Linked DNA regions of Tamandua tetradactyla. The protein of the gene in region 3 binds, or shares a complex with, the protein of the main gene of each other region. Links are inferred from orthologs where the notes say so. Each region holds a gene or a part of one and is shown on either strand. Other genes may lie near its edges.

Evidence for each region.
Region 1: ARPC1B (region 3) and ARPC5 share a complex: the UniProt entries of both Homo sapiens proteins name them as parts of the arp2/3 complex. The link is inferred for Tamandua tetradactyla from reciprocal best matches to the Homo sapiens genes ARPC1B and ARPC5.
Region 2: ARPC1B (region 3) and ARPC3 share a complex: the UniProt entries of both Homo sapiens proteins name them as parts of the arp2/3 complex. The link is inferred for Tamandua tetradactyla from reciprocal best matches to the Homo sapiens genes ARPC1B and ARPC3.
Region 4: the proteins of ARPC1B (region 3) and ARPC5L are in contact, whole or in part, in a cryo-EM structure (PDB 6YW6), measured with the Homo sapiens proteins. The link is inferred for Tamandua tetradactyla from reciprocal best matches to the Homo sapiens genes ARPC1B and ARPC5L. Residues at the interface, in NP_005711.1 of Homo sapiens: Arg118, Lys138, Arg142, Phe164, Ser201, Gly203, Trp204, His222, Asp223, Ser224, Thr225, Leu240, Ala241, Ser242, Glu243, Thr244, Leu245, Pro246, Phe281; in NP_112240.1 of Homo sapiens: Asn21, Lys22, Arg102, Gly139, Leu140, Gly141, Ile144, Arg145, Thr148, Arg150, Lys151.

Annotation. Positions count from the first base shown.
Region 1 is NC_135330.1:38,564,741-38,572,641, reverse strand, and holds the start of ARPC5 (actin-related protein 2/3 complex subunit 5), read left to right. Parts: upstream 1-4,894; 5' UTR 4,895-5,121; coding exon 5,122-5,264; intron 5,265-7,560; coding exon 7,561-7,642; intron 7,643-7,901. UniProt on the Homo sapiens protein: Component of the Arp2/3 complex, a multiprotein complex that mediates actin polymerization upon stimulation by nucleation-promoting factor (NPF).
Region 2 is NC_135331.1:11,179,237-11,186,243, forward strand, and holds the start of ARPC3 (actin-related protein 2/3 complex subunit 3), read right to left. Parts: upstream 3,014-7,007; 5' UTR 2,912-3,013; coding exon 2,906-2,911; intron 656-2,905; coding exon 556-655; intron 1-555. UniProt on the Homo sapiens protein: Component of the Arp2/3 complex, a multiprotein complex that mediates actin polymerization upon stimulation by nucleation-promoting factor (NPF).
Region 3 is NC_135349.1:7,400,380-7,407,932, reverse strand, and holds the start of ARPC1B (actin-related protein 2/3 complex subunit 1B), read right to left. Parts: upstream 3,013-7,553; 5' UTR 2,935-3,012; exon of another isoform or gene 2,868-2,934; intron 1-2,867. UniProt on the Homo sapiens protein: Component of the Arp2/3 complex, a multiprotein complex that mediates actin polymerization upon stimulation by nucleation-promoting factor (NPF).
Region 4 is NC_135328.1:46,985,274-46,992,201, forward strand, and holds the start of ARPC5L (actin-related protein 2/3 complex subunit 5-like protein), read left to right. Parts: upstream 1-3,909; 5' UTR 3,910-4,063; coding exon 4,064-4,212; coding exon of another isoform or gene 4,213-4,225; intron 4,226-6,928. UniProt on the Homo sapiens protein: May function as component of the Arp2/3 complex which is involved in regulation of actin polymerization and together with an activating nucleation-promoting factor (NPF) mediates the formation of branched actin networks.

The DNA.
Region 1 (7,901 bases), on a different chromosome or scaffold from region 3:
ATATAAATTATTGGGAAAGAAGATGTAAATTTCATTATTTAAAATATTATAATTGCATACTAAGATAAGACAAGTCACCTTAAAACAACTATTAGCATTAAGATATCCTAGTAATGGGAAAGAATAGAGAATAAATAAATGTTTTTTTAAGATCCATAGCTTCCCTCTATATCATTATAAGCAGTTTGAAAATTAAGTGGGGGAAAAAGTTTCATTCACAACAACGTTTAAAAAACAATTTCAGAGGATTGCAATTGGTAGTTCAATGGTAGAATTCTTGCCTGTCATGTAGCAGACTTGGGTTTGATTCTCAGTCCATGCACTTCCCAAAAAACAAACAAGCAAAACAAACCAACAAAAATTCAACAAATGGTGCTGCAATAATGGGATACTCACAGGGAAAAATAATGAAATGTGACCCAGCCATACAGCATACAAAAACAAACAAACAAACAAAACAAAACAATGTTCACTCTTTCATTGAGCACTAATTTTTTTTTCCTGAAACAATAGTATGGATTGATATATGTTTTTAGTCTTAAGTTCTGTTGTAAAATAGTTCAACCTATCTACTCTAATTCAGTGTGTAGTCATAAAGTTATGTAAAGCTAAAATTAATCACAAAGAAAAAATTTGAAGTTTTGAAAGTTGGTGGTTTCAACACAGAGTCAGTTGATTTTGGCATTAAATAGGATCAGTTGATTTGGGCATTAAATAGGAACATTAAACCTTAATAGAGTACATGGGTAATGCACTAAAAAATCTGCTATATTGTACTAATTATGTTGCCAGATAATATTGATATTAAATCATTGTTTTAGTTTGTAAGCTACCGGAATACGATATGCCAGAAATGGAGCAGCTTTTTTTTTTTTTTTTTTGTATACTGTACGGCGGGGTTACATTTCATTCTTTTTCCATGTGTGTCCTGTTATTGCAGCACCATTTGTTGAATGGTTTGTTTGTTTTTGTTGGCTTCTTTGTTTGTTTGGGAAGTGCATGGGCCAGGAATCGAACCAGAGTACCTCGCAAGGCAAGTGAGAATTCTACCACTGAAATACCCTCATATTCCCTGGAACAGCTTTTAAAAAGGGAATTTATTAAGTTGCAAATTTACAGTTCTAAGCCTATAAGAATGTTCAAACTGAGGCATCCAGAAAACGATAACTTGGATCAAGAATGGCCAATGGGTCAGGAACACCTCTGTTAGCTGGGAAGACATGCCTGGCATCTGCTGGGGTCTCTGGCTTCTCCTTTCAAGCGACTCCTAGGGGGCATTTTTTTTCTTCACGTCCAAAAGCCTCTGGCTGTGTGGGTTCTGTTGGCTCTGAGCTTTTTCCAAAAGGGTTCCCTCTTAAAGGGCTCCAGTAAGCAACCTCACCTTGAATGGGTGGAGACACAGTTCCATGGAAACAATCTAAAGTTACCACCCACGATTGGGTGGGTCACATCTCCACGGAAACAATAAAAAAGATCCCACCCAACGACACTGAATAAGATTAAAGAACTTGGCTTTTCTGGAGCACACAACAGATTCAAACGGGCACAATCATCATCACCATAACTGAAATATACTTATTTTGTATTTATAACACACATCTGATATATTTTATTAACACTGAGTTCACTTTGATTCCAAATAATAAAAACAATAGTGCCATGCTAGCAAAATTCAATGACTTCATTTGTTTAAATATTTAGAGACAAATTTAAGGGAAAGAAGCACATGGGCAGTAAAATTCTTGGTTTAAACTATCTGAGAAGACCTATTATAGGATCATGCTATTAAAGTTTCTTCTAACTAATAAGACCCTTGACTTTGCATCATCATAGAAAATTAGAAGGAGCTATATACTATCATGCAGCATTAACTTTTAGAAAATTCACATTCTGTCTCGCTTTAGTAGTAGTCCAAACCAGGTTATTTACATAAAAAATCAAATGTCTCAAAACCTTATGGATTCTTTAGTTCAGGGTCAAGTACTCATCTTGAAATGTAAAATAGGGAGACTAATATTATTTACAATGAATTAAATATCATAGTTAACATTAAACATTTGGAAATTTGCAAGGAAGTGGGATAATGTGTACAATGTGTATTTCCTAATTAAAAGAAAAAAAGATAACTAAGGATGAGTCTCTTCACAAAACATCTCCCTAAGATTTATAAAGATTTAACTATTAGCTAACGTGGGTATTAATGTCTATTCAAAAACACTCAGTTTTTAAATATAATTCCAAAATTATATTTGTTCCAAAACTTGTCACATCATTAACTCATTTGATAGAAACTTATTGAGCACCAACTATGTACCTAGGCACTTAGTTCATTGTGAGACAGTAAAAAATACTGCAGTGGAAAAAGAACCTTTTTGACATCTGAAATGTAGTATGTATTTTGAGGCTAAGAATTAATTACATTTAACACATTCAACATACAGTGCAAAATTCTGAGCAATAAAAACCATTATACCCTTGAGCAACCTCGATTTTTAAAAATTCTCCTCACTGTTCCCTTTAAGTTGATTTTTACCCAGTAAGTCTTTCTCAGTTCTAAAATAAGAGAATAGAAAGATTTCCTAAACAAGACTTAATACAAAAGACTAGAAATGTAAGAGAAGGGATTATTAACTCTTGAATCCTTGTTGCCACTTACTCTCAATAGTGCTTTTAATGCTCAATTTTCTCTTCAAAGAAAATCCTGAATTATAAGAACAAAAAGTACAATCATCTTTAGAATCTAAATAAGTATGTTGTCTAGCTCTTACTAAAATTAGCAGAAGATTTAAACTGAGAACAAATATTAAAACAAACCTTTATTCTAAGTTATATAACGCCATTCACCATAAGCAATAATTTTGTATTTTGGTATCCGATATTTTAAAATAAATATTACTAACAGGTAGAAAATTTGTCTTTGCTGTTTTACAGTCCTAGGGGAGTTTGTATCAGTATATTTGTTTAAAACTTGAATGTTAATTTAAAGAAATGCCACTTTCTGTCACCTAAATGACATATCTTCTAGAAGGGTAATTTAATCGAGAAATGAAAAATACCACATTGTTTTCCTCTCCCAAGGAAAAAAGATGCATTCAATTCCTGAGATGTCTCTCTCTCTCTTTCTTCCTCTCTCTCTCTCTCTCTCTCTCTCTCTCTCTCTCTCTCTTTCTCTCTCAAAGGTTTGAGGTCTCTCTTCCTTTTCTTAGTGATTCATTATTCTCAGTATGTTTTCAACCTAACTGCCTTTCACACTTCATTTCTCCACCAAGCATTTATTGAGTACCTTCTGCAAGCTTAACTTTATGACAGATGTAAAGAAAGGTAAATATATATATATTTATCTATCTATCTATCTATCTATCTATCTATCTATCTATCTATCTATCTATATGGTCTGTCCTTCAGAATTTTGCAATCTCTTTTGGGGGCAAGTTAAAACATAATATATCATTTAGCAATTTATAAAGCTAGTCCCCAAATCAATGGTACAGGTAACATACATTTTACATTAATGCAGAATTTTAGCGCTTCAAAACACTTTTGTGCATTTAATCTTCATAAGAATCTTATGAAATACACACCATTATTCCTATTTTAGGCATGAGGAACCTGAGATTAAAAATTTTAAATTGCATGCCTCAAGCAGATTATAAATTGTAGCCAAGACTCAAGTCTGGGTTTTTATGATTCTAAGCCCAGTGCTCTTTTCAATACACCACAGAAAACCAGGTATTGAGTTATTCAACAGGGGCAACAGTCAGCCTTCTGCTAACGGAGGACCTAAACTGGATCTGATAGAATGGCAGGAAAATATGAAGCCACCTGAGCTGTGTCCAGCTAAATGTTCAAATTAATTTTATTCTGCATATATTTGAACTTTTAATTAATTTGTACTTCACTGTAATACATACAGCACAGCTACCTTTTTTATAGTGGCTTTACCTCAATAACAGCTCTAGTCTCGGAAATGGGGATGCCAAATATAATAAAAAGCTGGCCTAGTAGCACCATATAAATCATAATATAAATATTATAACAATATAAATATCATAAATATAAATATTAAGGGTCTCATTTCTACGAATCCTAACACATTCTGTTTCCCCTCAGCACCAGAGAGCCTAACTTGCCCCCACCCTCCTCTAGCATTCTTGCTCCAAACCACCACCTATTTTAAGATGTGAATAATGACTGACCAAATTCTACAGGTTCTCCGGTTTTACCACCCAACCCCCGCCCCTCCCAGCCACCTTCCCCTCCTTCCCAATGGACACGATACCGAGTTCAGCTTCTGCAGGTCCTGTCATGATGTTGTCACACAGCACTGAGAAATAAAATACGACCTTTCGACTCCGTCCTTGGGGACCTCTCGTTGGCCGCACGATGTAGTTCTAAACCCGGGGAGGGGACCTAGCTTGGGAAGACCGTCCCCTGAAGCGCGGTGTCCGAAGCGATGTCTCCGACAACTAGAACGACGCTGGGCATCCGGGCGTACACCACTCCTCCCCATCCTCCTGCCAACTGCAGGGAACTCGGTCCGGCAACCAGTCCATCTCACCCCATGGGTAAGGCCAGATCAGCCGGACTTTACGCAGAACTCCAATGACAGCTCAGCCGGGAGAGCAGCAAAAGCCAAGGCCGCCGGCTCCTTGCGCCCATAGCCTTCAACCTCGGACCCCCCAGACTGGACCGCAGAGAAGCGTTTCTATGGGAACCCCCTCGGGATTACGTGACGCTTTCGGACAACCAATTGCCTGTTACCTTTGGCAGCGGTACCGCTTTTCGCTTTGCCTCCTACTCCGCCCCCTCCCGCCCCCGCCTCCTTCAGCCAGCCCCGCCCCTTTCCTGCGGAGAGTCTGCGCATGCGCACTGCGCACTCCCTCCCTGCCGCGCTCTCCTGGGGACAGCGCCCGGGGCGTAGGAGGCTGGAGAAGAGCGTGAACCTAAGGAGGAAGGAGCGGGGCCACCGCGCAGGCCCAGAACCGCCTGAGCCGCGGCTGCCGGCGACGCCCCAGAGCGGAAGAGGGAAGTGAAGGCGCAGGCTGCGGATTCTGCTGGGTTGGGGTTGTTGAGGAGCGGTCCCCACCAAGAGGAGGCCTTTGCCGTCGGTCCGCATCAGGGATGTCGAAGAATACGGTGTCGTCAGCCCGGTTCCGGAAGGTGGACGTGGATGAGTACGACGAGAACAAGTTCGTGGACGAGGAAGACGGAGGCGACGGCCAGGCCGGGCCGGACGAAGGCGAGGTGGACTCCTGCCTGCGGCAATATCCTTGCGTCCCCCGCGCTCCCCACCCGGCTCTTCTCTCCGGACCCCGCCACCCCGCGGGGTCGGAGGGCCAGGGACCCCTCCCGGGACGGACGCGGAGCTGCCCCTGCGGCGCGCGGGTGGAACCTTCCTGTTTGGGGGCCCCATTCTGAGGAGTGAGAGGTTCCCTCCGATTCTAACAGAGCCGCCTCGAGACCTCAGGGTCCCAGGCTGGGGAACCTGCCCTTCCGAACGCGCCTTCCACGCGCCCGGACTCCTCAGGTTGCTCCGGGAGTTCCTGCCTCTGGGGAACAGGCTTCGCCAGCCTCGCCCTCGCTGCGCTGGGGAAGGAATTAGGTGCCTGTCGGTAGGGCTGTGTTTTCTCTGTGCTCTCCCTAGAACGGTCTTTACTAGACTCGCTGTCGCTCCAGAAATTTCGGATCGGGGAAAGGGCATGTTTCTTTAGTGGCTTTGTTTGTTTTTGTTTTTTTCTTGCGTTGAAATAGTTTCTTCCTTGCCAGGAGGGATACCGCGGTTCGCAGAATGAGATCCTAGGTCTTTTCAGCCCACGACCTACTGCTGCCTTTTTTTTTTTCCTTTTTTTTTCTTTTAAGAAAAAAAGGATTTGGCAAAATACAGCTTGCACAAAATTTAACTGAGGGGGGGGCATTTAACTGAGGGGAGGGGAGTGAGTACAAAACAAAATTCCCAAGAAAGGAAGCTTGGAGTGCTTTACCTGCTCGAGAAAAGGTTGGTAGAAAACGGGGAAGACCTAAAGAGAACCCGTGGATATATTTAAAATAAATTCCCGTGAGTAAAATTGAAGAGGAGTCGTTTGTATAAAGCAGAAACATTTTTGGAATCCCTAAAATTGTTTCCGTTTTAGTTAAAATGTGACTGTCAGTGCCTGGGTTTTGGTTTTGCGTATTTTGAGTAATCATATTTAGTTATTCGCATTTGCATCATATCTTTTTAGAAAAATGTAGATGTTGCCATACAAGCTGCAGTTTTTCAGATTTTGGGGGGCTGAACTTCATGCTTTTCTAATTATTCCTGTCCATAAAAGAAGGAAGGCTTTTCATACTCTTTCCTCATGCATGTTCTATTAAATTATAATGGGGGAAATATTTGGTACAACTATATTTGGCTTTATCAACGTACATATGTTCCCTTGATTTCTTCAACTTTCACAATCAGTTACGATTTTGCATTATTTCGATATTTGTGATATGTTTTGCATCTTAAAAAATGAACCAATCTACAAGAGGCATGCTTCGCTAGAAGTTTGAAAATAACAGTTTATCACCAACCTTTGAGTTTTTTGGACAGACTTTTTTCTCCGGAAGATAAGTGGAAAATATTATTCTTTTTGACATTCTTTAGGATGGATAAATCAAGTTTTGTAAGACTAATTTAGCCTATTTTAGATTATTTGTATGACGCTTAAATAATAGTGCTGTAGTCCTCTCAGTGGATCTGATTTTTAATCAATTTATCTTAAAATATAAAGATATCTCTTCAGCCTTTGTTATGAACCAGGGGAGATAAGCCTGCCTTCTCTGAGGGAGCCCAGCACTAGAGATGGAGGAAATAAGTGAACTTAGTGGTTTTCCTTTTAGGGGAATGACTGTACATTCTAATAGTCTGATTGGCCTTCCGTTTCTCATAGTAGCTAACCCAGTGGTGCTTTCAAAGAGGCTAAATGTAATAGGTATGGGCTAAAACAGTTTGAATGATCTGAAAGAATATATCCAAAACAGAAAAATTAAGCTGCCACCTAAGGGTCGTTTGTGTTATTACACTTTCTGTGATGTCTCCTGTCATCAATATTGAGAAATGCTAATAATATTGTTGAGATGCCAGGGTAATCTACCAGGATTTTCTACCAGAATTTCAACTATTATAGAATAAAGTTTTGGTAAAAGTTTAATTTTTTTTCCTAGTCATAATCACATAAAAAAGACATTTTGATTGCTAGGGGACCTAATAATTCTGATATGTATTTTAGGGTTTAATACCACTCTGGATATTGCGTGCATATGTTTCCCACGGGAATATGAAAGGTTATCAAGGTATTCATTTGCTATTTAGAACCAAAGGTGAAAAGTCTTTACAAAAAAATAATGTAATGTTCTGTTTTCAGTAGTTTACCTTTGAAGGCCATCTTTGAAACTGGCACATTGAATTTTCCAATAGTGAACATAGTGACTATAGTAACTTTTCCTTTTTATGTAAAAGTCAAGTTATAAAAACCAATGGTTATCAGTAGTTATAGTGCTTTCCTAGGGGCTATCCTTTGCTTTTATCTCCTTAACCTCCATCACAGGAAATATGACAGCTGCTCTACAAGCAGCTCTGAAAAATCCCCCCATCAACACCAAGAGTCAGGCGGTGAAGGTGAGTCACTGACAGCCCAGTGATCTCTACTGGGATCTTATCATTTGTCCCCAAATCCCCTGAAGTTTCACAAAACCAGCAAACTATTTTAGCTATTCACTGTCTTTGACTTAGAAGAGCTTACTATTTAGATTTGAAAAATTACTCTTTAATATAGTTATGATAATGCATGGTAGGTATAATAAGTTCAAAGAATTCAAATGACAAATCATTCCTGTGTGTTTTTAGAGGGGGCCACACAGGTTAAATTTGAGCAAGG
Region 2 (7,007 bases), on a different chromosome or scaffold from region 3:
AAAGGCAGCATATCAAGAAAGAAAGCAAAAAATTCAGAAAAGCAAAAGAAGAAATGAGCACTGTTATATAAGACACTCAAGATTTTCCAAAATTTTAAAAAATCTTAAAAATCGAGCCATTACTCAAAATGAAGATCCTGAAGGACGGATAAAGTAGATTTAGATGAGGAAAGAGGTTAAAATGTTTTTTTTCCCCCCAGCTCGGTGACAGAGAAAGGATAGGGAATGGCATGCTACAGAGATGGCAGCACTAGATCAATGTGAAAGAACCGACAGTGATGACAGGAACAGTGTTCAAAACTAGGCACATTCCCTCTTCTCTCTCAACAAAATATCCTGGAGAAATGAACAGCAACAATAGTTCTCTATAAGATTCAACACACTTAACAAAGATCTTGAAGGTCTAGAACACAGCATCCACCAAGTAAGTAGTAAGTATGAGAACAATCTGAGGCAGAGGAGAGACCTAAGAATTTTCCTAATTTGATAATGTCAGAGGGTTGCTATGCATTTTATACCAAGACTTGAAAAGAATGAAAAGAGATCTAGACTTACTTTCTCTAGGAGCGGGTCCTTTGAACTGACTTCTGATAGGTAACAGTGCCATGTTTCCAATGAGTCTGGTGTCGGGGTCCATGAGAGAAGAGTGGTAAGCCTGGAACAGCAAGCCAAGTGAGGATACAGAAGCAGAAAGAGAGCAAATATCACCAAAGAAGACAAGCACATTTCCCCAAAGGAAAAAAAGAATAACACACCCAAGATTTACTGGGAGAGGGGAAGAAGGAATGGCAGCAGTGATCTGTTGGAGCTGGCTCTTACCCTGGCTCAAGAAAGCCGACCGTTAAATTTTGATGAATTTTGCAAGCTGGTGGTGTGTTTTTAACAGCCAATAATAAAGGTTACAACTAAATAAATTATATTAAAAACAAAGGTAGGGTGGGCCACAGTGGCTCAGCAGGCAGAGTTCTTGCCTGCCACGCAGGAGATCTGGGTTTGATTCCCAGTGCCTGCCCATGTAAAAAAACAAAACAAAACAAAAAAAACACAAAACCAAAGGTAATAAATACTTGAAACTCTTCACTCACTCATTTTTTAAATGATATTTTACTATTGTCTATGTTCTTAAGGTTATTTACACCTTTTGTACCTTTACGCAAGGAATATTATATTATGTGTGTTACTGTACTTTCCCCAATTTTGTACTCAGTGGCAACATACTGGTAGCCGGTAGGAACAGTTACACTTCAGAAACAGGCAAACGCTAACTAAATTAGGGTTACTCTCCCCCAAGTGGTTATCAAAACATTTACCAGGACCCAAGTACTAGCTTTTCAGCTTTGCCACTTCCTGCCTTTATGCCTTTGACCATCATCACTTTTTTTCTCTTAGCCTGTTTCCAAGTTTGTAAAATGAAACAGTTTGCCTGCAGTGGAGAGGTATGAGTTAAAGGAAAGAAAACTATCACATTTACGAGAGTAATTTACATGCCATTTCTGCTTTTACAAGATGGCTGGTTTTTGTAAGACAACATGGACCCAGTCTTGTATTCATTTATTCCATAAACAATAGGCACTTTCCATGTGCAAGGTCCCTTGGTATACAAAACCAGTTTAGTCTAGCCCTCAGAGAACTTTCAGGCTAATGAACAAGGCAGACATTAATAAAGTAATCACAAGGGAAGTCCAGGGTGCTCTATGTGCAACTGGAAAGAGCACGGGCTTTTAGAATAATGGCTTAAAATACATCCTTATCACTAGTGTGTGACCTTGTAAAAATTACGTGCTTGAGTCTCTGAAAAATGGAAACAGTAAGGGTATCTACCTCACAGAGTCACTGTGAAGACTGAATGGGATAATTTACACAAAGCATGTAGCTCAGGAGCTGCCCTGTACACATGAGTCAAAAGGTAATAGTTGTAAGATTCATGATCTATTTATCTGAAACTATAGCTTGCTCCTTGTCAGACGCTATCTAAAGCAGTCTCTGCCCCCTCTTCACCAGTCACTCTCGTTACCTATTTCCTTCATAGCACTTGTCACTACGTGAAACTCTCTTTTATTTGTTTAAATGTTTATTGTCTGTCTTCCCACCAGAACGCAAGCGCCTTAAGAGCAGGGTTTTATTGGTCTTATTCATTGCTATAATAGTGCTTGGCAGGCAGTAGTTGCTCGGTAATGTTTGTTGTATGAATTATTACATGCTGCCAAACCTTCGTTTTTCTAATCTAGAAGACAGAGACCATGCTGGCGATTAAAATATCCACTGACTGGCTGTCAGAAATAAAGGACAACCAGACTATCAATTTTTACTTTCACTCTGACACACGAAAACGGGAACATTTGCACTCTAGGTGCTGCCTTCGAGTCTGTTCTGGGAGCCCTACACCCAGCTGGCTCGGGGATGGCCACCCCTGCCGGTGCGACAGGGGAGGAGTGCGGGAAGTGGGGTCTGACAGATGACAAGCAGCGAGAGAGACCCGCCCCCGGGCGGAGGAGGAAGTGGGCTTGAAAGGAAATAGAAGCCGGGGCCTAGACTTAAAATATGAAAAGTAAAAAAACTTAGGCTTGGGCTCAGGCTCTAGTGAGGCTTCGGGAACCCTTCTGACTCGGAGGAGAAGAAGGGGCTAGAGAAAGGGTCGGAATTTCAGAGAAAGAAGCCGGAAGGGCTGGGGCAACCTCATCAGCCGGCCCCGGGACTTCAGCCCACTCTTCCCGCCCCCAAGGCCGACACCCCCTAACTGCCGCGAATCCGGCAGGGACCGACCCCCTCCCCTCGCATGTCCACTTCCTCAGGTCCTCGCTTCCCCTCTGCCTTCTCGGCCCTTTCTTTCAGCACACACACGATTTCTCGCCATTCACCCCGATCCCAGCCGTGTCCCCACCCGCCCCCGGCTCGGACCCCTCACCGGCATCTTGACGGTGCCCAGGTTTGGCCCCAGCTGAGGAAGATCAAATCCTAGCGCGGGGCTTCCGGTCTGGCGGCCCGGGCGGGGTAGGCGGAAGTGAGCCGGAAGGGGCGGACCAGGAGAAGAGGGGAAGTTCCGGCTGTTTCCCTTGGCTTCTGCGGCTGCGCGAATGCGAAGAGCCGCCAGGGGGCGCCCGAGCACTAGGCAGGGGCTCTTACTATTGAGTTTAGTATTGATTGTTCCTATCCCCCGCCCCATACGAGCGTCAAAAAGGCGAGGAATTTGCCCACTTTCTTCACTGCTGTATCCCCCGTGCCTGTTAACAGTGATGGTACAAAGTAAACAATAAATGTTTGTTGAGTGAATGACTGAACAGAATTCACTTGTTTTTAAAAACAGGGAAACTAGAGAGCACAGAAAGGATTTGTGTATTATTCTGTCCTACAATTCTTTGTGTAATGACTGAGCTGAATCCCAGCTGCATAATATTGGGCAAGTTAAGTAACCTCTCTGTGCCTCAATTTCCCATCTGAAAATGGGGATAACAATACTTACTTCACTTGTGAGGATTAAAGGAATTATTTGAAAAGTGCTTAGAATTGACACACCTGGAACATACTAAATTTCAGGAGTTTTTTGCCCATTACTAGAAAGCACCTCATTTTAAACCAACCTCAATCCTGCCTTGGGGCCTTTTCTTCTACCAGTCTATCAGACTGGACATGTTCCCTGCTTGCCACATGACCCAAAATTGACTTCTCATCCACTGAAATTATCTTCCTTTCCTTTTTTATAATTAGGCTCAGCCACCCAGCATGCCAGTTCTATGAATGTCAGGCTTTGTCTACCCTAATCCTTATTTTATTCCCAATGTCTGGCATCCACAGAACCCCGAACCAGTAAATTTATCTAAAGAATCATGTCAGGTCCTCCTACAAGTTAGTGAAATCTTTGAAGACTGGACTTGTCATTTTCATCCTTGAAATCTGTGTCCAAAGGAGAAGGAAACCAAATTTGGCCCTTCACTTCTTCCTTACAGGAACGTACCAGGAGTGAAACTAGACAAGTTAAGCATAAGGAGCCAAGAAGAGGGTGATGAAGAGGGCAGGTGAAAAGTTACCTTTTCTTTCTTACCCCTGGATGTGACAATGACATTTCTAACTAGGAATTATCAATGCTTGGAGATCAGGGTTTTCTTAATTCTTTTATTACCAGAGGGCCCGGGAATATTCCCAAGCAGGCCAGCACATCCCAACGCCCTATGTTATATTCTTCCCTGACTGCCCTTTGCCCCTGGCCTGAGCCCCCAGACACAAGTTACCAGGTACCTATGGTTTCCTCACGTTTTGCATTTGATTAGTCAAAATGTGATGTTGCAGGTGCACTTATGTTATCTAAGCACAAGAATGATTTAAAATTTAACTTCAACAGCAGAGTGCTCCTTCCAGTTGCCTTACCTGCTTAGTCCACTCACCTGCAGTAGAAAATGGTGAAAGAAGTTACTTAGTATGATATTTTGGGGCCAAACCCAATGCCACTCAGGAAGAGTTGAAACAGGCTTATAGGAAACTAGCCTTGAAAATATCACCCTGATAAGAACCCAACTGAAGTCAAGAAGTTTAAATAAATTTCCCAAGCATTTGAGGTGCTCTCTGATGCACAGAAAGAATTATATGACAAAGGAGGAGACAGGCCATCAGAGAGGGTGGAGCAGGTGGGGATTTTTATTCCTCCCATGGACATCTTTGCTATGATTTTTTGGAGATGGTAGAAGGATGCAGAGAGAAAGGGAGAGGTAAAAATGTTGTACATCAGCTCTCAGTAACCTTAGATTTATATAATGGTGCAACAAGAAAACTAGCTCTGCAAAAGAATGTGATCTGCCACAAATGTGAAGGGTGAGGTGGTAAGAAAGGATCAGTAGAGCGCTGTCTCAATTGCCAAGGGACTGGCATCCAAATAAGATTTCATCAGATAGGACCTGGAATGGTTCAGCAAATTCAGTCCGTTGCATGGAGTGCCAGGTCCATGAGGAACAGATCGGGGAATGGATCAGTTCTACAGATTAAAAAACTGCAGTGGAAGAAGGATAGATTCTAGAAGTTTACATTGACAAAAGCATGAAAGATAGCCAGAAGCTAACAGTCCACGGTGAATGAGACTAAGAGCCAGCACTGGAGCCAGGAGATACTGCCATTGTTTTAGATCAGAAGGATAATGCTATTTTTTTACTCGACAAGACCTGTTCATGTATATGGACATACAGCTGATTAAAACAGTTGTGTGGCTCCCAAAAGTCAATATCTACTCTTGACAACTGAACCACAGTCACCACCTCTCACCAGATCAGACTGTCAAGCATGGAAAAATCAAGCATGTGTTAAATGAAGGGATGCCAATTTATCATAGACCATATGGAAAGGGTCGCCTAATCATCCAATTTAAAGCAAACTTTTCTGAGAATGGCTTTCTCTCTCCTGATAAATTGTCTTTGCTGGAAAAACTCCCAAGAGGAAAGAAGTACAAGAAACTGATGAAACAATCAGGTAGGACTGGCGGCCTTTGATCCCAATCAGGAAAGATGTTGCCATTACAATGGAGACACATATGAGGATGATGAACCTCATACCAGAGGTAGTATTCACTGTCAATCCTCCCACTGGGGACCAGCGAGCAACACTCACTACTGGCATTTTATATGCAGTAGTGAATAAGTGAAAGATTGTAATCATAATATGCTCACTACCTGCTATTGTTTTTGCTTTAATATTCAACTATAATAATGTTTTCAAAGTTAAATGAAGAATAAATTCAAATACAAAAGCTTTCACTTTGCCCTGTATGTATAATGACTTCAGTGTGCAAGATGAAGTTTAATACTTGTTAAAACTATTTTTGGTTTAGAAAAAAAAATTCCCCTTGGCTTTTGTTAGGCAATACCTTGAAATTGTTTTTCACTGATTACATGAAGTTAGAGTGAAATGCTAGGTATAGGTATGCGTATGACCCCCATAGTTAAGCTATGGATCTGTATTAAGTGGGTTTTGTTGTGATGCTTCTGCATTTATTCTATTACATAAACTGTTATTTGAAGATGGCACAGTAATAATTTTAGTGTGTGGTATCAATAATAAAAACGACAGCTTTTTAAAGAAGCTTATCATTAATATGCTGCTTCTTGAGGGCATTTCTACAACTGCATTCCCTTCCACTATGCCTTAAAATATATATATATGTATGTTGATTAGTCCTGGTTTCTTATGTTTACATGCTTAAATCTGGATATAAGAACTTAAGCGATTCTTAAATGTAAGAATATCTCCATAATATACTGATTACCAAGCCCCCCCCCAAAAAAAAATTAACTTGAGATCCAGGTTTTCTATAAGCGCTTAATTTGAATCAGATGGAAGATCTCTCACTGAATGACCTCGGTCTGTTAGGAGGATTAAATGAATTATGTAAAGAAGGGCTTCTCAGCATAATGCATAGCAGCACTTACTAAATATGAGAGATTCAGCCTGACTTTAGCAGAGCCTGGCCTATAGTGGATGCTAGAGAAATAAATACTCATAGACTGACTAGTCATTTCCCAGGGCCTGCTCACATACCCAACCCAACGAACTCAGAAACAGTGAAGCAAGAAGTTAAAAAGGAAAAATTACATCATTTCTTATTCTAAACTCTCAAAGACTACAAACTGCATTAAAAAACATCACTGCCTATGTTTTGTTACTTAGGGAAAGTTACTCATTGAAACATTTGACCTCACTGAGTATTTAAAATTCTAACTACAAAACAAGAGGGTAATGAAAGGTTTGTGCAACCTTAATGTTTCTTTTATATATGTAACATATATAAATATCTAGCTCAACACAATTACTTTTACTTTTTTAATTATAGAAATAATACATTTTTAGTGTAGGAAAATTAGAAGATACATATAAAGCAATGGTCCTATCTGTATCCTTCCAGATTTTTTCTGTTGGACATATTATATATACACATGTAAATTTTGTTACAGTAATTCCCACTCCCCCAAAAAACTCAAAAACAACAAAAATCAAACATAGTAAATTAAGTTAGAATGGTCTTAACTGTA
Region 3 (7,553 bases):
CGTCACCCCCAAATCAGAGTGGGGCTGGGAGAATGCAGGCCAAACCCTTTACAGGCTCCCCAGGGCAGCTGGCTCCAAGCGGGCTCCCCCTAGCCTGGAACCAGGACCTCTCTGCACCCCATGTCCAGCACACAGTAGGTGCTCAGCACAGATGGAGTGTGGTCACCCAGGCCCCAGGGGGGGATGCCTGGAGTGGTGGATAGTTTTGGGGGTGAGCGCTGGAGCAGGAGGCCTGAGGTTGGGCCCCTTAATAGTCACTATCCTTCTCAATTCCCTGCAGGGGAGCTGGAAGGGGTTTTGAATTTCTGGATCCATGGTCTCCAAAGTGGGGTGCCGTTTCCATCAAGGGAGGTGCCCAAGACCATGCCCCAGGGTGTGGAAAAAAATTTTAAGTCCCTTTTTGTCAAGAAAAATTTGTATCATTGAACATAATTGCCAGAAGCACAGGGATATTTATCTGTTTTGTTCACTGATATGTCCCCGACACCAATTAGAGTGCTGGGTACTCGATAAATATTTACTAAATGTGGTGGGATGAGTAAATCACATCCTTTTCTTCACATCTGTCTTGGGGGTTGTCCTACATAGAACATGCTGTGTTCGTTCAGGGTCACATGTATGCAACTTATAAATATTCATCAGGGAGTTATGTGCTCACATTTTTTCCAGATTGGAGCTAATGATCAGAGAAACCTGTAAACCTAGTCTTAGTGGGTCTTCTGACTTCAGAGTGGAGAGAATACAGTGTCCTCTCCAAAGCGAGCCAGGCCACTTTCACCTATGTGGCTTGGAGGATTCTGTTCAGGACCTCAGCCTCGGCGCTCTTCTTCCTTACAGCATTGGATTCAATTTCTGCCTCTCTCCATACCGGCTGAGTGCCCCAGGCCAGTGCTTCCCCAGAAGAGGCACAGGCTTTAGGTACTTTTTTTTGTCTGGCTCTGCCAGGTTTCTCTGAGTCCAGAGGCTAAATTGCAGCATTATTTGAGGCTAAACCAAGCAGGAACTGCCTGGAGCAGGATCTGGGCTCTCATGGAAGTCCCCACCCAGCTGCTGAGGGAGCTGCCAGGAGCCATTTTGCATGGCTTCCTGTTGTGGGTAGGAGCCCCCACCACGCAAGATCAGCCAACCTCTCCTCCCCAACTCTGCACTTGAAGTCCTACATACCCGGCACAGTAACATCAAGAAACACAAATTAAAACAATCATAAGATACCATAAAGCGACAGTTAAAGTAATCCAAACAAGACCAAAAAAAATAATAATTAAAAAAACACATAAAACTCAATGCTGACAAAGCTGTGGAGAAATTCTCACTTGTTGCTAATTGGTTCAGTCTTTCTGAAAGGCAGAGTGATAACATTTAATTCAACACTTGGGTAATACAAACAGAGCTAAGTTACATTAATAGAAACTTAAAAACTGTTAACACTCTCTGGCTGCATAAATCCATTTTTGACACAAGTAAAACAGCCCCTAAGATTATTTTATTTTTTCTAAAAGCAGTCATGTTCATAACAATGCTATTTATAATGGGGACAAGGTGGAGAAATCCAGATGATTACAAATATGGAAAAAGTAAATTGTGACACTGACATGTTGAAATGCTATTTAACTGTTACTAAACTAACTTCACTGGTATTTTGTCAAGAAATTCATAGTTTACCCAAGACTTTCACATGCATACTTTTACCACCACAACCTCCCCCCCAACCCCAAGCAAGCCTAAGAAGTTGTTTTGTTTTAAACCTTCATTTGTACAGTAGGAAACTGAGGTTCAGACAAAAGCAATTATTGACTCAAGAACACACAGCTCCCAAACTGCACAGCTGGAACTCTAACCCCAAATCTCAGAGGTCAGGTTCCCACGGGGAGATGCCTTGACTAAACGTGGGCCGGCCTTTTAAAATAGCTACAGGTAACAGCACACATATTTACTTTGCGTCTGAGACACTGCTAAGCCGTTTACACACATCATCCCACTTCAGCCTTGCAAACTGAAAGATGCCCATTTTCCAGATGAGCAAAGTTGAGGCTCAGAACTATAGGTGAGGCGCTAGCCAAGGTCACACAAGGTCCGTGAAGGAAGGCGGGAGACCTCAAAGTTGCTCTGGGCCCCCGGCTCACTGCCTGCCGGGCAGAAGGCGCCTGGGGGGCGGCCGGGAATGAACCCAGGGGGTCGCGGTTCAGCGCCTAGGCTGCGTTCCGCGGGCGAGCGGAGCGTCGCAATCACCGCCCTCGGGGCCAGCCCGGCCCTGCCGCTGCCCGAACCGGGGCTGGAATCGCTGCGGGCCCTGCGCGGGGACGGGCGGGGCCGCTCGGGCCGGGGCCCGCAGCTCGCATGAGCCAGTTTCGAGACCCCCGGCGCCCGCCTTCCCCCCCCCCCCCCCGCGGCGGGACCCGCGGCTCCACGGACTGGATGTGCTGCCGACGGGGTGGGGGGGACGGGGAGTGGGGCGCCAGCTCATTTCCCGGTTGGAGCAACCCGGAAGGCTCCGAGGACGGAGGGGAAGTGGCTGGGCGTGGGGCCCTCCCGACCCCAAATAACGGGGGGGAGGCGGCCCGCGGGGCAGAGTCGGGGTGACGCGGGGCCGGGGGAGGGGGCCGAGGCCGGAGGACGGCGCGCGGGGTCAGGACTGCCGGCCCCGACCGCCCCGACGGCGCCCGGGGCGCGGGGACCCTACGTGTCCCTCGGCCCGGAGCGGTGACCCGGCCCCGCCGCCCGCACTCCCCTCGCCCCCTCCTCTCCCGGCGGTCCCCGAGACCCTCTTCACCTCCAGACAGCGCCCCGCCTCGTCTCCAGGCGGCCCCCGCCCTCCTGACACCCCTGGCCTCCCGGAAGCCCGCCGCGCCCTCCCCGCGCCCCCTCACCTCGGGGCGGCCTCTCGTGACGCCCCCCCGCGCCCCCTCAGCTCCCGGAAGCCGCCGCGCCCCTCACCTCGGGGCGCCCCGGCCGCGGACTCTGGGCAGTCGACGCGCCGAACCGCTCTGGCCCCGCTCGGCGCCGCAGCCACTTCCTCGTGGGCGGGGGGCGGGGACCCGGGGCGGGGACCGGGCGGGCGGCGGCCTTGAGCTCCGAGGGCCCGCCCACCCCATCCGGGCGTGCGTTTCCCAGGCCCCCCGCACCGTCCTGGCACGTCGGAGCCCAAGCGCCCAGATGTCGTCTCGTCCGTGACCACCCCTCACTGCTTTCTGGGTGGGGAAACTGAGGCTCGAAGGGAGGGTGCGGGTCTGAGTCGCAGCGGGGCGGGGTGGGGTGGGCAGGGCGGGTGTGGCCAAGCAGTGGGCCCTCAGTGTCCTCACAGCAAACCCGGGTGCACACCCCCTCCCGCGCAGGCGCTCCCCGCTCACTGGCTGGGGCAGCAGGGTTTCTTTAAGGCTAACTTCTTGACCTTCCATTCCCCGGCAGTCTGCCTGAGGCCCCTGAATGTGGGTGCAGGACCAGGTGGTCCCTAGGGGCCTTTGGGTTTGTCAATGGAGATGTGGCCGGGTGGCTGGGCAGGTGGAGACCTGCCCCCTCTACCTTAGCAGGCCCCTCTCCCTAGGATTCATCTCACCCAAGGTTAGCCACAGAGCAAGAGGCAGCTGCCGAAGGGGGGCTGGCTCCCCATGGAGCTCCAGGGGCCTGGGGCCACTCCCCCAACCCTCCCGGGTCTCCCTGCTTCAGCCCAGGCTGTTCTTTCTGCCTGGAGCACTTTTCCCACCCTTTCCTCACCTGGCCAACTTTGGTCTGTCCTGCAGGATGTGGCTGAAGAATACCTTTCCCATGTCGCCCCCACCCCCACTTGAGGGGCCCTGTGTCCCCAAACCCAGCTCCCATCCTAACCACACGCCTGCCAGCCACCGGCTGAGGTTGGGAGGATGAGATGGGTCAACTTGTGGAGCCCCTCACCCAGGGAGCACAGTTTGTGCCCAGTGAACTTTAACTGAGGTGTTTGTGCCCAGTGAACTTGTGAGCATGACCCCCTGGGGGACGCTGAGGCGCTGCTGCCCGGGCTCCCCTGTCTTGCTGTTCCTGTAGGTTGGTTCAAACAGGTCCCAGCAGCCTCAGCAAATCCAGGTCACGGTTTTAGTTAAACCAGAGCAGTTTCCAATGGTTTGTCCTGGCACCCCCTCCTGTTGGGACAAGTGCAATTGAACTCATAGGTGGCACGATTGCCACCTGACTTCCACTCTATCCCTCCCCCATGACTGACACCCTGGGGGAATGGACCCCCATCTCTAACCCAACCAGCCCAGAGTATGCTGAACTGTCTTTGTGACCTAAGATGGCCCAAAGCCAAGCCCAAGACTTTTGATGATGATCAAGAGAAGAGAAGCCCCTTTGGGTGATTCTAGCCGCGAGGGGAAGCCAGATCTGGGCTGCAGCCGACCAGGAAACATGCAGAGGGGAGAGAAACGTGGTTCTGATAAGGGTCGTCCCTGACCGGAGTCCTGGTCAATCTGGCTGACCGGCCCAAAGCCCAACTTGCCCCTGGAGCCTTCGGCCATGTGCACCAGGGAATGTCCTTTATCTTAAGCTGGTTTGAGTTTTTCTGTTACCCATTACCAAAAGTATCCTAACAAATGCACACACCCAAGGAATCCCTGTCACTAATAATGGTAAAAACTGAACTGAGGTGGTATGATTGGAGGAAAAGCAGACTCATCAGCTCCCTGAGAGTAGAGGCCAAGTTTGTATTGCAGGGCCCGGGCTACAGACGGCACTGATAGTATCTGTGGAATGAGTGACTGAATCCAGTTCTGACTCTTGTCACTTAACTAGTGGTGTAACCTCAGGCAAGTCACACTTTTTGTACCACCTCGGTTTCCACAGCTTACAGTGAAGGTAATTGCAGTTATAGTGGGAAGATCCAAAGGATGGGAAAGCAAATCTTAAACTGGGAAGAGATGGAGGCATTATTTGAGATGGTTCCCTCAGGGGACAAAGTTTTGTAAATTTTAAAAGAAGCAATGCCTTGGGTGAGGGCAGCTTGGGCATGGAAGTTTCATCTGCAGTTCCGAGAATGACTTGGAGTGCTTTCTGTTTCTTCCTGGAATCCACTTCCCATGGTGCCCTGGGATGAAGGTGCCACCCTCCGTGTTCTTTTCCACCTTCTCGGGTTTCTAGGAAGTGCATTCACAGCCAGCCGGGCCAAGACTCCTCAGGGCTGACTGACTTGGAGGAAGGTAGTGCAGAACTGGTGCAGTGTCTCCAGGCCATCACAGTTCTGTCTTTCTGCTCCTTCCTTCTCCTCACTGTGTTGGCCTTTTGCCTCCTGGTCACAAGATGATGGCCAGGCTTCAGGCAGGGCAATTGCAGGAAGGCTGTGGGCTGGCCAAGGCAGAGGGAGACAAGGAGGAAAACCATCCCCAGGAGCCCCCAGCATTCTCCCCACTCATCTCATTGGCCAGGACTGGGTCCAGGTGATAACACTGGCTCACCTGGATAATCCAGCCTAATCTCCCTATCTCATGGTCCTTCATTTAACTGCACCTGCAAAGTCCCTTTTGCCATGGAAGGTAACCTCTTCACAGGGACTGGGGACTAGGACATGGGCATTTTTGGAGTTCTGTTATTCTGCCTACCACACCTATTATTTAAATTATATACACACACACACACATTTTAACATTTGACCCCGTATATAAATTATATGCTGCTCTGTCCTGACTGTTCCCCACAGGGTAGTTTTTCTCTCCTCAGCCAGACTGCAGACACCTTGGGCCTTCACATCTTTGCATCCAGATCTGGGCACACCGAGGAGCTCGGGCACTTGTATGACAACTGCTGAGCCAAACTGAAGACTCATGCCTAAACAATTGACCAGGGTTTAGAGGCAGGCTTGTTTTCTCAGCAGGATATTCTAGAAAAAACAGTTGGATGTTTTTGGTTTGCAAAATCCTTTATCCACCTCTTCCCTCTCTACTCCATTTTATGATTATGAAGGGTCTCCAGCCATCTACTAAAGGGCTAGTACCAAGCCTGAAAGCAAACCCTGTTTTACTGGGTACCCAATATGTAACACTTATCATGTACCATCCCCATTTCAGAGATGAGGACACGGAAGCTCAGAGATGTTGCTCAAGGTCACACAGCTTGGCAGAACTGTAATATGACACCAAAGCGTCACATCAAAGGGTTTGGTCAACATGTCCTGGCAGGCAGCAGCCACCTAGAACTACCGCATTGGTGTCCTTGTGGACTCAGACCTGATCTGAGTCTCAAAGGTAGGGTGAGAGCAGGAGGGAGCTGCTGTAATCTCATGACCCCGGCACTGCGGTAAAGAACAGATTTCCAGCTGTTGTAACAAGGATGGGCCTTCTTACAAGAGTGAGAAATGCAACCCCCATCAAAAAAAAAAAAAAAAAAAAGTATATATATATGTGACTAATAAGTTCTTGACTGAAAGTAAAATTTTTTTTTGCTATTGCTCTTGTTTTTCTTTCATGGAATCCATTGTTTCTCTAAAAATCTCTGGGCTTACACGCCAAACAGTGTGATTTAATGAAACTAAAAAGAAATTCTTAGCTAGCTCACCTTCAGTGGCTGCTTTTCTCTGGTGACAGCCTTGCTGATGCCGTGGTACAAACACTAGTCACAACAAACCCCTGCCGTTGAGTGTCCAGAGAGCACAACTGCAAACAGGGAGAGGTGGGTGCACCAGGCCAGCCTCCCAGGCAAATGGCTTCTCTCCTGGAGGGCAGTCAGGTTTTCTATGAATCGACAAAAAGCTAAAACTAGTCTTCTGAAAATATCATATCCCTTAGATACTGCTATCGGTCTCTAAAGGCAGGGGTGTATGGACTAGTTCCAGTTTCCCTGTCAGTGAGGTCACTAACAAGACCATTCTCATTTATTTTGCTATTCATTTACATATGCTTGGTTTGTACCCCTAAAGATTCTTGGCCTTGGGATGTTAAACTTAACCTCTCAGAATGATGAAAATAACTGGGCTTGGGCACAATAATCTCTATCAACAATGACACCTTTTCCCTTCTGTCCCGATGCATACTCCCTCGCAGCAGGCCCTTGTGGGGGCACCATCACAGAGGCTGCCCCTGCTGCGGCATGGGGCAGATACCTCTGGATCTCACAGAATAGGCTGCTTAGTGGCAGTGGGATTCCTTGTTGCCTTGGATGCAAAATGGGAATAGTACAGCTACTTTGCAGAAAAATAGCATTCAATAAATGGTTCTTTTCTCAATAAATGATTCCTGTAGGTTGCATGGGACATTGCATTTTATGAAACTAAGAATCTAAGCTATTCTGCCACTATACAGAAAATACATACCATTGATTCTTGTTATTTGTGGTAGTTATGTTCTATAAAGTCACCGAGAACACTGAATTAGTGAATACTGAACCACTGTTCCTAGGGAAATACAGGGTTAGGTTCTACAAGCCTTTGGTGGCAATATTTTCATCAATCAATGCATACCCTTGTTCTATGTGTTTCTTTTAAAAACACCTTATTTAATATATATTGTTGATTCATTAACATTGAACTCAAGGCCAATAGTGCTATAACTAATGCCTGAAAAAAGCTTATCTAACACATGTATTTTCTCCACAAG
Region 4 (6,928 bases), on a different chromosome or scaffold from region 3:
CCCCTGCTTTGGACCGCGAGGTGGGAGGGCAGGGGCGGGTCAGACAGCTACAATGTATTCCAACTGCATAAACGTTCTAATGGAGGCTGCATGCGGCGGTGAAAGAACATTCATGGTTAAAAAAAAAGAAACAAAACAACCAAGTTTGAAATACTTGCTCTTGTTGCCAGATACTGGCAGCGACCCTATGCATGTCCCTTCCTCTCTCTTGGAGTCTCAGTTTTCTCACCTGTGAAATGGGTTGTTTATGAGGATTAGAGATGATACGTGCAAAGTTCTTAAACACAAGGGCCTGATGCATAATGATCGCTCAGAATATCGGTATTGTGTGCGTAATGGGGGATTCGTATACATATGTATGTATATCATTAGTATTAATGTTTCCAGGCCAACGGACAACTTGATTTGGGCCCTGGAACTTATAAAGTATTTACAAAATAGGGAAGAACCTCAGGCCTCCTGCCTGGGAAGTTCCATTGCTACCCCACCCAGTAAGCATCAGTCAGTGCTCCACTGTCGCTCCGGTGCTCTAACAAAGACACAGATCTTTCAGAGGTTTGGTTGAGGCCTCCCTGTTGCTATCAGGCTCCTCCAAGGAGCCTTCCCTTTTCTGGTCTGGATAGCAACCTCCTCTGCTCATACTCCCTTTAGCTTATACTGAGATGATGTGTTTATGTGCCTGTCTCCACATTCAACCTGGAAGTTCCCTGGTGGAAGAACCATGATTAACACCTATTTGGCATTTTTAGTCTTTAGGCACAGTACTTGGATAATGTTGGATAGAATGAATGAATGAGCCTTACCTCAGACCACAGCACCTAGGCAAGCTTCCAGAAAGTGGAAGGAAATAGGGAAGAGAGGTCAGACAGGACAATCTTGGCATGGATTAATCTTAAATCAAAGTCTAATGGTGCACAGGGGCTTTGCTGTCATACTTTCCAAACGCTCATACTCCACTACGGCTATTGGCTGTGTATACCTTTTCTAGGTTTGAGGTCATCTGTGATTCCTGTTTCTCTAAAACCACATTCAAACCATCAGCAAATTCTGCTGGCACTACCTTCAGAATACATCTCACCCCCTTCCCACCACCCTCATAGGCCTGTTCTAACCTGATCTACCATGCCTGTTATGTGGACACTGTGGTAACCTCCTAAATTGCCTCCCTACTTTGGCCATCTCTCCCATATGTGTTTTATTTTATTTTTTAAAGCATTTTTTCATTGTGAAATATACCATATATGCATTAAAGAAAGAGATTTCAAGATACCTTTTAACAAATAGTTATAGAACAAACTTCAAAGTATAGTATGGGTTACAGTTCCACAATTTCAGGTATTTCCTTCTAGCTTTCAAGATACATTTTAACAAATACTTATAGACACACTTCAAAGTATGGTATGGGTTACAGTTCCATAATTTCAGGTATTTCCTTCTAGCTGCTCTAATACACTGGAGACTAAAAAGAAATTTTAGTATAATGACTAGGTAGTCATACTCATTTGTTAAATCCTATCTTCTCTTTTACAACTCTTCTCTTTCATTTGATCCTTCTCCCAAACTTTAGGGATATTTGGGCCATGACCATTCGAACTTCTTCATGTTGAGAAGGGGTGTTGATATTATGGAATGGGGGATGCAACTGATTAACGTTCTTGGAGAGACTGGTACTTCTGGGTTTTAGGACTTCTCTGGCATGGGAACAATCTGAAAGTTTTAGGTTTCTGAAAAATAAACTTAGTGTGTGAAACGATCAGAGTCTCAGATGGATCCCTGGGTATTCTCTAGGGTTTTCAGGAATACTGTTGGTTGGGCCTTGCATACCTTGGCAATTTGCAGCCTCTAGCTGAACCTTGCATTACAGTAACCCCCAGAATAGCCTGCACTCTATTTGAAATCTCTTAGCCACTGTAACCTTATTTTGTTACATTTCTTTTCCCCGTTTTGGTCAAAAAGGCATTGTCAATCTCACAATGCCAGGGCCATGTCCTACACTGAGGAGTTATATCCCATGTTGCCAGGGAGACTTACACCCCTGAAAGTCCCATCCCATGTGGTGGGTGGGTGGGTGCATTAAGAGTTCATTTGCAGATTTGGGCTTAGGGAGCCCTGATGTGTTTTAAACACAACTGTTAGAGACCCTTTTCAAACTCAAGCCAGATCATAACTCTGCTCAGCACTTACAGGGCTGACTACTTCCTTTCCTTGGCCTGCAAAGCCCTTTATCATCTGTCCCCTCCATCCTATCTCACTCTTTTGCTCCAGCATACTCCAGCATACATCCTTGCTGTTTTTGGAATACACCAAGCTTGCCTTGCTTCTAAGCCTTTGCTTGGCTCCTCCCTCAGGTTCAGTGTCACCTCCTCAGGAACAGCTTTGACCACCTTTTCTAAGTTAAACTACTGAGCACAGTGTGATTTTTTTTTCCTTTAGTACTTAGTCATCCATTAGAGTATAAGTGGATTTTTAATTTGTGACTAGCATGGAAGTTCACAATCTGGAGAAAGGACATTGTTTTGTTCACCAGTTTATTTGGGCACTATTTTCCATGTAAAGTGGGCAGTCCTGATTTAAAATCCTGTCTGACCAGGCTGTTCCTTGGAGTATGAATTTTTCCTCTCTTGGCCTCCCTGGGATCACAAACGATTTCTTCCCACCTATAGAGCTGAAATGAAATGCCACTGTTTTTTTTTCGGTCTGTTTTCCCAGGACTCCTGATAACTTTTATTCAGCACCTATTTCCCACGGGGGGGGGGGGGGAGGGGGCAGTCTATCTTTAGTATCCAAGATTAGACAGCATCATAGTCTGGCAATACTTTTTTGATTTGTTGTTCAGTTCAGTGAGAAATATCCAAAGCAATAATAAAGATTCACATTTCATTTACTGGCCTTTATTAAAAAGAATACTGTTATATGAAAAAAAAGACCCAATTCAGCCTAAGTCTAAGACGGTTTAACGAAATCCCTCAAGCGAAAGCCCAAGCACTTAATCTTGGTACTTTGGGGCACTCCTAGACTCTGTCCTGACCCCTCGATTTCCCCCATCACAGATTCTGCGCATTTTATTACCCATAAAGAAATGTCTCTCTAAGCCCCACTCCTTTAACCCTTTGGCCCTTACTCTTCCTGTCAGGATGGTGGCCTTAGGGTCATCGTCCTCTCCTGACCGTCACACATGCATGGTCGCCGCACCCCCAGGGCGAAATATCTTCAGCGTCTTGTCAGTCCCCTGGATACACGGTCTTTAAGTCTTCCCATTGATTTGGGCGGGCCACGGTGGCTCAGTAGGCAGAGCAATCGCCTGCCATACCGGAGACCCGGGTTCCACTCCTGGTGCCTACCTATGCAAAAAAAAAACCAAAAACCTTCCCACTCATTTAATAACGGGATCATTTGTGCATAAGGCCTACAAGGCAGAAGCTGTCGTCTCTGTGCTCAACGTGGTGGGGTCAAAACCCTTAGACTCCCCCTTTCCCCCTCCCCCCCGGAGTATGAAAAGTCCTATTCATTCGTCAGGGCTCGGGTGGAAGATTTCTTTTCTTAGAAGCCGAACAAGCATTCGACAGGCAGGACGGGCGCCATCCCCTGTGGGCCTCGTGTCCCTTCGGTTCGGGTAGAGTTCACCCGGGATATCTGCGGCTGTGTCGGTGCCGGCACCCCCCAAGGCCAGGAGGAAGCCGGAGAACGCACACAATTAAGGCATACAAGATACCAGGCCTGCAATGGGAAGGTGAGTCCACTCCCGCGATGGGCAGACAGGTTCTATGAAGATCAAAGTATGGCGTCAAAGAAACCACCTAGGCGAGTGCCCGATTTTTCCGACCGGGGGAAACCGGAATCCCACCAGCTTTCATCCCGCCCAGCCATAGGTGCTTCCGGTTCCGGCGTAAGGCGGAAATGGGCGGGTGGAGGCTGCGCGCGGAGGTGGTGGGGGCGGTCCCAGCGGCCGCTTCCCGCCCCCCGAGTCGGAGCCGGAGCCGGAGCGGGAGTCGGAGACCGAGCATAGCTGAGTGGAGGTCCCCGCCAGAGTCGAGGTGGTTGGGCGGGCGCCGAGCCCCCCGCCATGGCCCGGAACACGCTGTCCTCGCGCTTCCGCCGAGTGGATATAGACGAGTTTGACGAGAACAAATTCGTGGACGAGCAAGAGGAGGCGGCGGCGGCGGCGGCCGAGCCAGGCCCGGACCCAAGCGAAGTGGACGGGCTCCTGCGGCAATATCCTTCCCCGGTGCGGCGGCCTGGCCTTCACGCTCCTCTCGGTTGGGCTAATTGGCTCGGCCATCCTGTTTGCCTCATCCCGGGCTCCAACCCTTCAGGCCGAGCCTCCCCACTCTCTTAGCTTCGGTCCCCTCTGACCGAAGTGTCCAACTCTTTTCCGATACGACTCCACTGAAGCTCCTTTTCCCCAGTTTTCTCATCCCCGGCACAGCTTTCCTCAGACCGGTTCTCCTCTCCACCCCTTATCCCAGGCCCCGGCGCCTCCCTGTACTGCAGCGCAGCCCTTCTCGGGCCCTACTCCTTGGTGAACGGGCTGGCTCACTCGACGGCCCCTGTAGCATGCCCACCTCGGACGTCCCTCACTCCTTAACCCGGCCTCTTCTCATTTCTCCCCCTTGTCTCCTTTCCCCATCCCCCATCCCCAGGTTGTCCCTTCTTTGAGCGCCTGATCACTCCATCTTCTCGCAGGAAACGGGGCCATTCACGGGCTTAGTCGGCGGGAGGGGCTGAGGTGAGCCACTCCTGAGTAATCGAGTGGCCAGGGCGGTCCCGGGCATAGCCCTCTCCTGGCTTTCTTGGATCCGATTGCAGCACAGCGTGAGAAAAGGTGGGTGGTTGGCTGCGGGGGAAAAAAGGACTCATGAAGTAATGAAGGCCTTAGTCGAGCCCTGAGGTCTGAGTGTGTGCACTTCACACCCCAGGATCAATCTGAACCTCCAGCCTAATGCTACTCATTCTCACCTATTGTCAGTTCTCTTGAACACCTTGGGCTTTGAACTCTGATGGTCTCATCTATGCTCAATAAGGAAGTTTGGCTTCCTCAATAGCCTTTTTGTGTATGTTGTGCGGGACGCAGCAGAAAAAACGAGTATCTTAGAGCTAAGAAAAACCAGAGGGGGTAAAGTAAAATGTAAAAGTAGAGCTACTTGACTGGAAATGACTATTCTTGTGGCCACGGGAAACATGCATTTGGAAAACAAGATTAAAAATAGAGGTGGTTGTTACAGCCTACTTGGTACCTTAGCAGTTTGAGCACAGGAAACTGACTTATTCTCACAGGAAGTATTTTTCTTTATTCAAATTGTTTTACAGGAAGTGCCCTCCCTTCCCCCTGCACTTGCCTGGCAAGGTTGGAGACTCAGGCAGTATATAAATCAGGGTCTTCGTGTTTTATCAGTTGACTCAGCTTGCACTCATAGACTGTCTTTGGGAGGAGCCCCACCAGGTTTCTCCAGTGTGCCTTTAAAACGAAAACCTTGTTTGAACAGGAATGTGGTTTTAGAGATGGGAATTCAAGTTTGTAATTGCTGTTTCAACAAGATCACCTTGCTTACCCCACTAGCAAAATGGGGTCATAGGAAGAGTCCCCAGGAGGGAAGGTTAATTCTGTAGCCTGGTGGAGGACCTAGCTTTTGGGCAGGCAGTGATGATTGGCTGTAGGGCCTGTGGCTCAGTACCCTGATTCCACAGATGGGGAGACCAAGGCCTAGTTAACTGCTACATTGGTCTTGTTGCTGCAGGAACATCTCTTTCTATGTCCATGATTGGTGATAAGTCCCTAGAAGATGCTTGGAGGCTTAGGCTTTAGCACATCTGGGTATGGTAGTTTCTTCAGTAATGACAATGTCAGAAACCTTGTTACTGGAGCATGTACCTCTGGGGATTAGGGGAAAGTGAGGTTAGTAGATGAAAACTGAAATCCACGCAAGTGGGGAACCCAGGGAAGAAGAAAGAAAGAACGAGTATTTATTGAACCCCTACCATGTGCCCAGGTATTGGACTTATATTAGGTCATTTAATTTAAACTGTAGAACAGGTTTCTAGGAGTCTTAGGACAGAGCAGAATGAAGTAAGCAGAAGGACTGTTTGGGGTAGGGGAAGGTGACAAGGGGTCTTGTCCTAAGGCTGCTATATTGGGAAGCATGCCATGATGGGAAATCACACAGATGAAGTACAAAGAGCATGGACTTTGCATCCACATAGATCCAGTCCTGTCATGCTCTGTATGGCCTTGGGTGGGTCACATGCCCTTTCTGAACCTGAGCACCCCCCTCAGTTAAATGGAGGTGAACATGCTGGCCTCTTGGAATCTGTGGGCCTGTCATGGAACAACACCCAGAAGGGTCCAGCACAGTGCTTCGCACACAGCAAGTGTCCATCCCAGACATAGTTGAGTGTGTCACTGTTGTGGTAGCATGGGGTTGGAAAGAACTTAGCTTTCGAGTCATGCAAGCATGGGTTTGTAGGCCAGCTGAATAGCTAAGCTTTGTGACCTCCAGCAGATCATTTCCCTTTCTCTGAGCATCAGCTTCGTTGACTTTAAAGTGGAAATAATGATCCTTGTTAGCAGTAGTTGACATGTGAAGCCCTGGCATCGGATCTGAGATCTTTTAGGAGTTTTAAAGTATTAATTCCTTTTTCTCCTTATTGAAACAGGTTCCTGTCTTCTTGAGCCAGAGATCTGTCTAGAGTAGTGGTTTTGAGTGATTTTGCACTACTCCCTTCTCCCCTAGGGAGAGTATTCAGCCTACAATTTACCTGCGAAGCCTCTGGAGCCCTGCTTATTGTTTTGGGGACCCCAAATTAGAAAAGGTTGTGAGATAGTTATAGTGGCTGATTTTAGGTTGGCCCTTGTTAGGCTAGGGAGAAGGAATTCCAAAGCTGAAAGATAAAGGGGGCTAGCTGCTGCTCCAGCATGGAAGTTGGGTCAGAG